2 linked regions of the Nothobranchius furzeri genome follow. The protein of the gene in region 1 purifies or fractionates together with the protein of each later gene. This does not show direct contact. Links are inferred from orthologs where the notes say so. Each region holds a gene or a part of one and is shown on either strand. Other genes may lie near its edges.

What was found. The genes of interacting proteins can lie anywhere in the genome.
Region 2: the proteins of bcl7a (region 1) and smarcd1 purify together in Homo sapiens (affinity purification with mass spectrometry; 5 studies listed by BioGRID and IntAct, counting the BioPlex papers as one, with this or other methods). This does not show direct contact. The link is inferred for Nothobranchius furzeri from reciprocal best matches to the Homo sapiens genes BCL7A and SMARCD1.

Annotation. Positions count from the first base shown.
Region 1 is NC_091746.1:40,383,730-40,387,951, forward strand, and holds the start of bcl7a (B-cell CLL/lymphoma 7 protein family member A), read left to right. Parts: upstream 1-1,375; 5' UTR 1,376-1,471; coding exon 1,472-1,563; intron 1,564-4,222.
Region 2 is NC_091743.1:58,867,485-58,871,673, reverse strand, and holds the start of smarcd1 (SWI/SNF-related matrix-associated actin-dependent regulator of chromatin subfamily D member 1), read left to right. Parts: upstream 1-1,295; 5' UTR 1,296-1,338; coding exon 1,339-1,524; intron 1,525-4,189. UniProt on the Homo sapiens protein: Involved in transcriptional activation and repression of select genes by chromatin remodeling (alteration of DNA-nucleosome topology).

The sequences.
Region 1 (4,222 bases):
CAGGGACAACCAATCACACGTTAGTATGTGCAGCAGAGCCAATCAGTGAGCTTGTAGGCGGGTCTAAGGGAAAATGGGCTCAGAATGGGCTTCAGCTTGAAGCGGCTGCCTCCGCATGGTCCTAGTGCCTGATATGTATCACAGTATAACAGTTTTGAACAGTAAAATCTGGCGAAAGAGCGGAAAAAGGATACTTAGGGTACTTCGGACAAAAGGGGCAGGTGCTCAAGCACCCTCCGGCCCACCCCCTCTACACGTGCCTGCTGCACATAAAATAAATCAAATTAAAGAAGGTACAAAAACTCACAAAAGATAAGTCAATCAAAGAAACAACATTTCGAAAAAGAGAAAAGCTGCCATTAGAATATACCTACAGAAAAAAACAAGCAGGAATTTAAATTAGCGAAACATTTTAAAACACCACGCAAAGCTTGTGCATTTTCCTGTTTTATATTTATTTGTCCCACTCCGGTCAAATAAATTCGTTTTTTGTTTGTTTTTATTCTCCATAAAAGCTGGCACCACTAGAGGGCAACATAGTCTTTTTTTAATCAATTTGACAGTAGAACGAGCTCATGCAGCCCTTAGATTTTCTCAAGACAAGTTGAATTATTTTTTCAAACTTTGCCACAGTGAATGATAAAATGAAACTAAGATCTAAGTTTTCTGATTTATTTAATAATCTCTGACATAAATTATGTATAAACATTTTAAAGGGGAAACACTAGGATGTAAAAACAAGCCTACTTTAAACAGACAGGATGATCCAAAGTGTAAAGATTTCTCAAACATGAGATACACAACAAGAATGAAGCCAATACTGAAAAAAACATCTTATTGATGACAACATTAAAACATGGCACAAGGAGACTAGAAAACTCTGTAAAGCTTAAAAACACAAATGCAAAAAATTTTCATTAAATAACTATGACACACAAAGGAGCCCAAATGCATTTAGTACATTAAAAAAATCCAAATCTGTTGGTTTGAATGCTAGGTTATTGCGATTCCAAGAAAAATATTGAAAATACAAAACACAGAGGCACAGAGAACAAACACAAAGAGGTAGTCACCATGGACAGAATACTTTATTCCTTTTTTTATTCTCGTTGTATCTGGTAGTGTGGGGCCTAACAGGAAACTAATGAAATTCAAGATTCCCCAAAACCCCTTTAAGCTGTGAAGATGCTCTGAAGGGTGAGAGTGGAGGGTTATTTCCTTTCTCTCCTTCTCTTCCAGATATGTGAGGCAGAATACGAGGCAGCGCGCTGCCTTTGTTCTGCTGCTGTCTCAGCAGGGAAACACATCTCTGTTCAGAGTGCAGCTGCAGCCGGCCTCTTTTCTCTCTCTCTCCCCCTCCTCCCCCGGTTCCACCAGGCCGCGCTTGCGCACTGGCTCCTCTGTGCGCTCTACTGTTTGCATTGTGTCTGAACTGCCGGCGAGCTTTAAAAATATTATACCCACCGCGGCAATGTCGGGCAGGTCGGTCCGAGCTGAGACACGGAGCAGGGCGAAAGATGACATCAAGAGGGTTATGGCCGCTATTGAGAAAGTACGAAAATGGTAAGAGAAAGAGGATGAAAGACTCTGCTTCGTTATCTAACAGGAGAAAGGCTTGCTTGTTGGGGGAGGAGAGGGAAAGAACGAGACGGAAAGAGGGATGAAATAGAGAGATAAAGGGTAGTTTTTGAACGGGCTTTTCGGCAGATGTACCGGCGGCTCAGGTGCACCGGAGCCGCCTCGGCAGGCTGTAGCCTCCCCACCGGTCGCCCTCTCCGCTCGCGCGGGGACACACTACATGTAGCCGGTGATTTTCCGTTGGTTTTAACGGCAAAGGGTTGAACCCAGAAGCCATTTCGATGCAGTCACATGAAGCCATTGCTGCCTGCCACCGAGCTGCTCGCGCAGGCGGCGGTTTTCGGAGCGCAACGACCGAAGAGTCTGGACCTGGAAACAATTTGACGACGGCGCTCTGGAGTTGGAGCAGTTTTGTCCGTCTGGAGTTTTAAATTAAGCGCTTTGAGTCGCCCTTTAGGTCTGATAGAGAACTAGGCTCGGTGGGGGTTGGGAGAGGGAAGTAGCTGCTGGGCTCTGAACACGTCAGTCTGCTCGCCTTTTTACACCTAAATCACATTTTGTTCACATCAAACCTCCAGATAACACGCGTTAGTTTCCAGGATGAGAGTTTTATCAGTTTGGAGTCGCGACTCTGCCTGCTTGGTGATTAACCAAAAGTCCACACAAAGCCAGAAAGTTAGATTGTCGCATAACTTTTTTCATATTTTCACTTTTAACATGATGAAGATCAACACAAAAGACACAAGTTTATACCTTTATATTGTTTTATTTTATCAGGCTTTTTGATGTTATTTATAAACATTTTCGTTTGGTTGATCTAAAGAGTGACTTTGTTCAGTTAAACAGTTATCCACGGAAGTAATGCACATTGAATTTTATTTTTATTTTAAACATTAAATGGTAATTTTGTTGAATTGTATTTTTTTTTCGCCCATTCTTATCTGAAGCAGACTTAATTGATAGTTCATTATTAGTTAATGGATACTAACTTTGCAAATGTTAAAAATTTCACTTTTTACATTAATTTATTTTGCAATAAAGGTAAACAGAAGTTGGAACAGGGATGTCCAAACTGTCCTTTCTGCCCACAAACATTCTTTTATTAATCAATTTATGTTAAATATGATGCAGTTATTAAATGTTTTTTTCATTCTCACTCAAAATAGGCCAAATACTCAAAAAAAAAAAAAAGAACTTAATGTGAACAGCGTGCTGGAGATAAAATTCCAACATTCTAGAATTGCATATTAGGGCCACACAAAATCAGTGTGAGGGCCACAAATGCCCCCTGTGGCTCTGGACCCATTCTACTGTGCTGTGGTCTATCGTCCACCTGGTCCAAACAGTTCTTTCCTTCAGGAGTTTAGTGACTTTCTATCCTCCACTGTGAAGCTGTCCAGACTGGTGATTGTTGGTAACTTTAACATACACGTTGATGATCCCTTTGATCACTTTGCCATGAATTTCGCCAGCCTCATGGACTCCTTTAGCTTTACCCAGCATGTTTCTGGCCCCACACACACCTGGGGACACACTCTGGACCTTGTTTTTATCCTGTAGCCGGTGTTTGTCTGAGGACGTTTATATTTCTGATCACTATTGCATTTTCTTTAACTTGTCCGTTTCTGCGTCCCCACCTCCTGCTCGCCATCTGGTTAGTTCTCGTTTTCTTAATGAGAGCACAGCTAGCAATTTTTCTGCTGCTTTTGATCCACCCTGTTCTTCTGATAATGACCCAGATTCCTGAACTTCTCAGTTTAACGAGCACTGCCTCTCCATTCTGGACAATATCTGTCCTGTCAGAACCAGATCAGTTCCTGCAGTGAACCCTACTCCCTGGTTTAATGACAGCCTTCGCAGCCTAAAGCGCCAATGCAGAAAAACTGAGCGCTTGTGGAAGAAAACCCATCTCCACGTCCATCTGCTGCACCTAAAGGATCTTCTGACATCCTTTAACTCTGCAGTCAGAGACGCTAGGGTTTCCTATTTTTCCCACCTGGTGTCCCAGAGCAAAAGGGAACCCCAAGGTGCTGTTTAACACCATCAGCAGCATTGTCTGTCCTGCCGGTGTCGGTACAAGATCTGCTCGGGTGCAAAATTGGCTCGGGGTCCGTCGACTGCCGATGACGTCTAAGTAGTTGATTGGCTGAACATGAACCTTACGGAATTACGCAATCATGTTATGTTGGTCCAGGCAAATCTTTCTGTTGGAAAGGTGGACAACTTTTACAAAGAAATCCATCATTACCTCTTTGAAAATACACTCTAGAGCTGCATGTATATTAGGGCTGAACGATTAACTGCATGTGCAATTAAATTGCGATGTGACAAAAGGAGATTTTCTAATCGCAAAGGCTGCAATTTGGCAGCGAGTGGTTAACGCAATGCTAATATACATGGAAAAACCCATAGGAATGCTAATGCTAATATCGCCGATTACATTATTACAAATTATGAATTAGAAACGTGCCAAATGATTACATTTGGAGTCTAATAGAAAGTAAAACTACCATCAATCAAATAAGTACAGACAGGTATTTTAGTAAAGCCAGAAAACTTTTAACTCCAGAGTTTTGGCTAGCATCTATGAGCGTAACTATACGCATGGACAAGACGTCAAAAACTCTAAACACAAAATACTTCA
Region 2 (4,189 bases), on another chromosome or scaffold:
TTAAGTAATGACCATTTTTTCAATTAGTTGTTATTAAACACATTTAGAAGCCTGTAGGATAAGCCTGTTCGTGCACCAAGGTATAAAGCCCAAAATGAAAATTATAATTACAGTGTAGATGCTTTTAGATGTCCAAAAACACATGCCCCCCCCCCCCCCCCCCCCCGGGCAGCCAGCAATCTGTTTCTGATCCAACACAAAGAGATTATGCAAACAAATGGTGCCCCATGTTTTGTGCTGCCGATTCTCCATACTGAACAGAGAAAGTGTAACATCATCAAAAGTTGGGGGAAAAAATACATAAACTGTTGTGAATTTTTGCAGGACCGTAGCTCAAAACATTTAAAACTTTGCTCATCTTAGGATCTCTGCATCTGCATACAATCAACAAGCATTCAAAGAGGATCATGAGTCAACTGAAAAACCTCATGGAGGCACCGCAGATTCAGATCACCTCTCAGACACGGAAGCAGTTGGCTCACTAATTTATGTTCCCCTGCTGTGATGAAAGGAGATGTGGTGTATAATTTGTGTGATGTTCCTAAACAGAGGGAGATGGTGCGACTTGCAGTTCATGAACTTCTGATAAAAATTAAAAAAGAACTAATTACTGCAGTCTGTAATGTTTTGATATTTTTCACATTTCAGCATGTATTTTCTCGTTGAATAAAAGTTACGCATCTGCTGATGCTCATGTGTTGCATGTCAAAGTGATTAATTTGTAAATTAATGCAGCTTATTTCAGTTTTATGAGACAAATGGGACAAAATCACTCAAAATACCATTCTTATCTGTGCTTTTCTTCTACTTTAAAGTAAAATCTCTTTTCTTACGGTATTTTCAGTAAAAGTTCCAGAATATGTTGTTTTGGTTTAAAAATATTCTGCAGACTTTGTAGATGTCATAGATGTTACAGATATGTGAGCGAAGTTAGAATGGGTTTTTATTAAATTTTTGGTCTTGCAGGAAGCAATTGAAATGATGCTAAATTTGTATAGTGGACACTTTTTTCAGAGCTCCAGAAACAACATTTGGATCAATTGAACACACCAATTAAAATACAAAAACAATAAAAATAAGTTTTTAGTATGCTTAAAAATGCAAAATTAAGCATGTAGTTGTTTTCTGCACCACTTTGGGCTACAACGCTTCTAATTTATTTATTTATCAGGCTTCATGGATGGTTGAAAGACTATCATCAGCATCTCAATAGAAAAGCTAATTTATTTGTTACCAGATGTGAGCAGCAGATAGCGCTGTTTCATCTCCAACTCTCCCCATTGAGCTTGTTCTCGCGTTAGCTTCGTGCTTCCACCGGCGGCGACACTCAGAGAGGAGATGGCGGCCAGAGGGGGGTTTCAATCTGCTCCGACGGGTGGTGGCGGTGGAGCAATGGGCCCTGGACCGCCAGCAACCGGTGCAGGACCAGGTATGGGCCCCGGTACTCCCTCTGGAAGAATGGGGCCTTCGTCAGCCGCGCAGAACCACATGTACCGCTCTCCGATGCCCGGGCCTGGGTATCCGGTGAGTTCTCGTTCCATGTTTGCTGCTGACGCGTTAGCTTGTTCGCTAGAACAAAGCCCCTCATCGCTCCTTTGTTGCTACTGGCCAACGTTGTTTCTGTTTCTCCATGAGGACCAAAGCTGTGACTAACTCTCAGGCTGGTTGAATAGAGTCAGTCTATCCCAAAACTTATTTTAGCCACTTCCCTTGAGTTACCATCGGTGTGTTTGAATTTGCTAACCCATCCCGCCCGCAAACGTTAAAGTTTTAGTAAGCAGCTAGTTAGCTCATCATGCTAACGTTGCTAATTTGCTCTGTAGTTTGAATAAAAGCACTCCGAGAGGGCTCGAGTAGTGTAGGAAAATTCACAAAAAGTGAGTTTGTTACGTTTGAAAGTCCCAATTCGATTAGGTTTGGGATTTTCTATTTATTAGATGTCTTAAAATCAAAAGTCTGCTTTTGAATGAAAAGTTTACACTGATAAGAAACCATCAGTTTTCCAGACGGAAAAAACTAAATAAGAATAAAGCCTCAAATTCCGTTTTAATGCGTGAAGTTTGTGCTTTTGATCTAATAATATACTGGAAATAATTTGTCACTGATGGATTTTGTACTTTAAAAATATTCTAGTTAAACTTTCAAGCCTCACCTTTATTCTAAATTCTGATTTTCAGATCAGACTAGTGCTACTTAATCATGAGTTAAAGAACAAAAGTTTTCCAGATGTACTATAGTTACAATAAAACTAAAATAATAGTTTAGTCCCGCGATCAAGAAAGTCAAAATATTTCCACCAAAGGACACAAGCCAGCTGAGCAAAGTTTTTCTTTAAATGACAAAGGTAATGTTTTGTGTGTTTGTGCAGACTGATGTTTCAATTTAACTTTTAATATGCAGATGTCTGTTGAAACTACTATCTGATAGGTTTAACTCATGTAATTGGAGTATCAGTTAAAGGTTTTGATCATTCATTTAATCAACTAGCTCAACCTCCTGAGCTACTGTTGCAACAACGAATTGGGGAAAAAAATTGATTAAGAAATGCATTAGCAATGCAGTTCATCATCACTTTGTTGTGTTGTGCAGCTTTTTTAATTTATTTTTTTCATGTAGTGCAACCTTTTTTTTAACAGTCAACGTGTGTGCAGCTTATGGGGGGGGGGGGGGAATTTATGTAACTCTTCTGTTTAGATGTAATAAAAGCTTGAAATTATGAATGATTGGGGGCGTGTCCTTTTGATGGACAAGTAGCAGAGGGCTAGGGGTGGTCGGCGCTAGGGGCTTCCCTCCTGCTTGCTCCAGGGAAAGCTTCAGTCTGCCTTACCTTAACCCTCCCACTGTCCTAATGGGTGTGACCCCATGAGGAAAGTTGACCATTGAGCAGGGTTGATGGTTTATCCCTTGGGTCCATGTGGCATGGGCGACTAGTGACCACCACCTCACCACTGCCACGTGGACTTCAAGGGATAAACAATCAATTCTGCTCAACGGTCAACTTTCCTCGTGGGGTCACCCATTAAGACAGTGGGAGGGTTAAAAGTGTTAGCTTGTCCTGCCAGGGTTGGTCGATTTGTCATGATGACATCAACAAACAAAATAGTCATCAATAAACTTAATAGTCTACGTTGTTTATTCTACGCATTGTTTTAATCTTACCTGCTTCAGCAGTACCACTGCTGCTTGCGGTCTTTCTGTTCGAGGCACGTGCGCAGTAGCGGCCATTCGGGTGAGCCATTGCATCACCGGAAAAACAAGACATGGCGACCTGCAATGTAGCACAAAGTTTGAAAGCATTTTACAAAAATAAGCATGTACAGTGCAAAGTCTGCAAAGTAGGACTTCTTTCACAAGAAGATAATGCTGATGAACGAACGCCTTAAAAGGAAGCACGTCGTGGCAGAGAACAAAGGGGGACAGTCGCCTCTTTAAGCTAATTGCCCCTCGTTAGCTGCTAACATCATCAGGGACAGTGTTTCCCCTAGGAATTTTTCCAGCTGTGGTGGAGGTGGTGTTGGCGGGGGGGGGGGGGGACTATGACACGTCTCACCTTTATGTTAATATTGTTTTATTTGATGCACTCCACTTTGAACTGCACCAGTCCAGCGACTGCTGCAGTGTAATAACTAGTATTAAAGGTGAATACACCAATATTTGCACAAGAATAATTTCTGTTTTAAACTCTCAGTGACACACTTTGCAGGGTGGATTTGGCATTTAATTTTTCTTGGCGTCTGGAAAAACATCTTCTTTTTCCCCCTTTATTTGACTTTCTGCCCCCTTTATTTTGGTCCAAGACCATTACTGGGCTGGCCCTCTTAAACGCGTTCTACACCCCTGCTTAGTAGAATTAATGAAGTATTTTTAAGCCAGTATAAAAATGACTGAAACACAAATTTACATATTTGGCATTATTGACCAATATTTTTGATTTAATTTATTTGTTAAGAACATCAAGATGCATTACAGTGAACATTATAATAAGCTGGGCGGACACTGTGCGACTTTTTCACTCGTAACACAGCTTCAGCTCAAACTGTACGACTTCAGCGCAGGGCAGATCTCACGAGTCATGTGCTCACTGTACATCTGGTAGCAACACATCGGACCTAAAATATGCTAAAAATAGCAGTTTTTACACAACACGTCAGACTTTTTTGTCTTGTTTTGCCTGTTGTCCTTCAGGAGT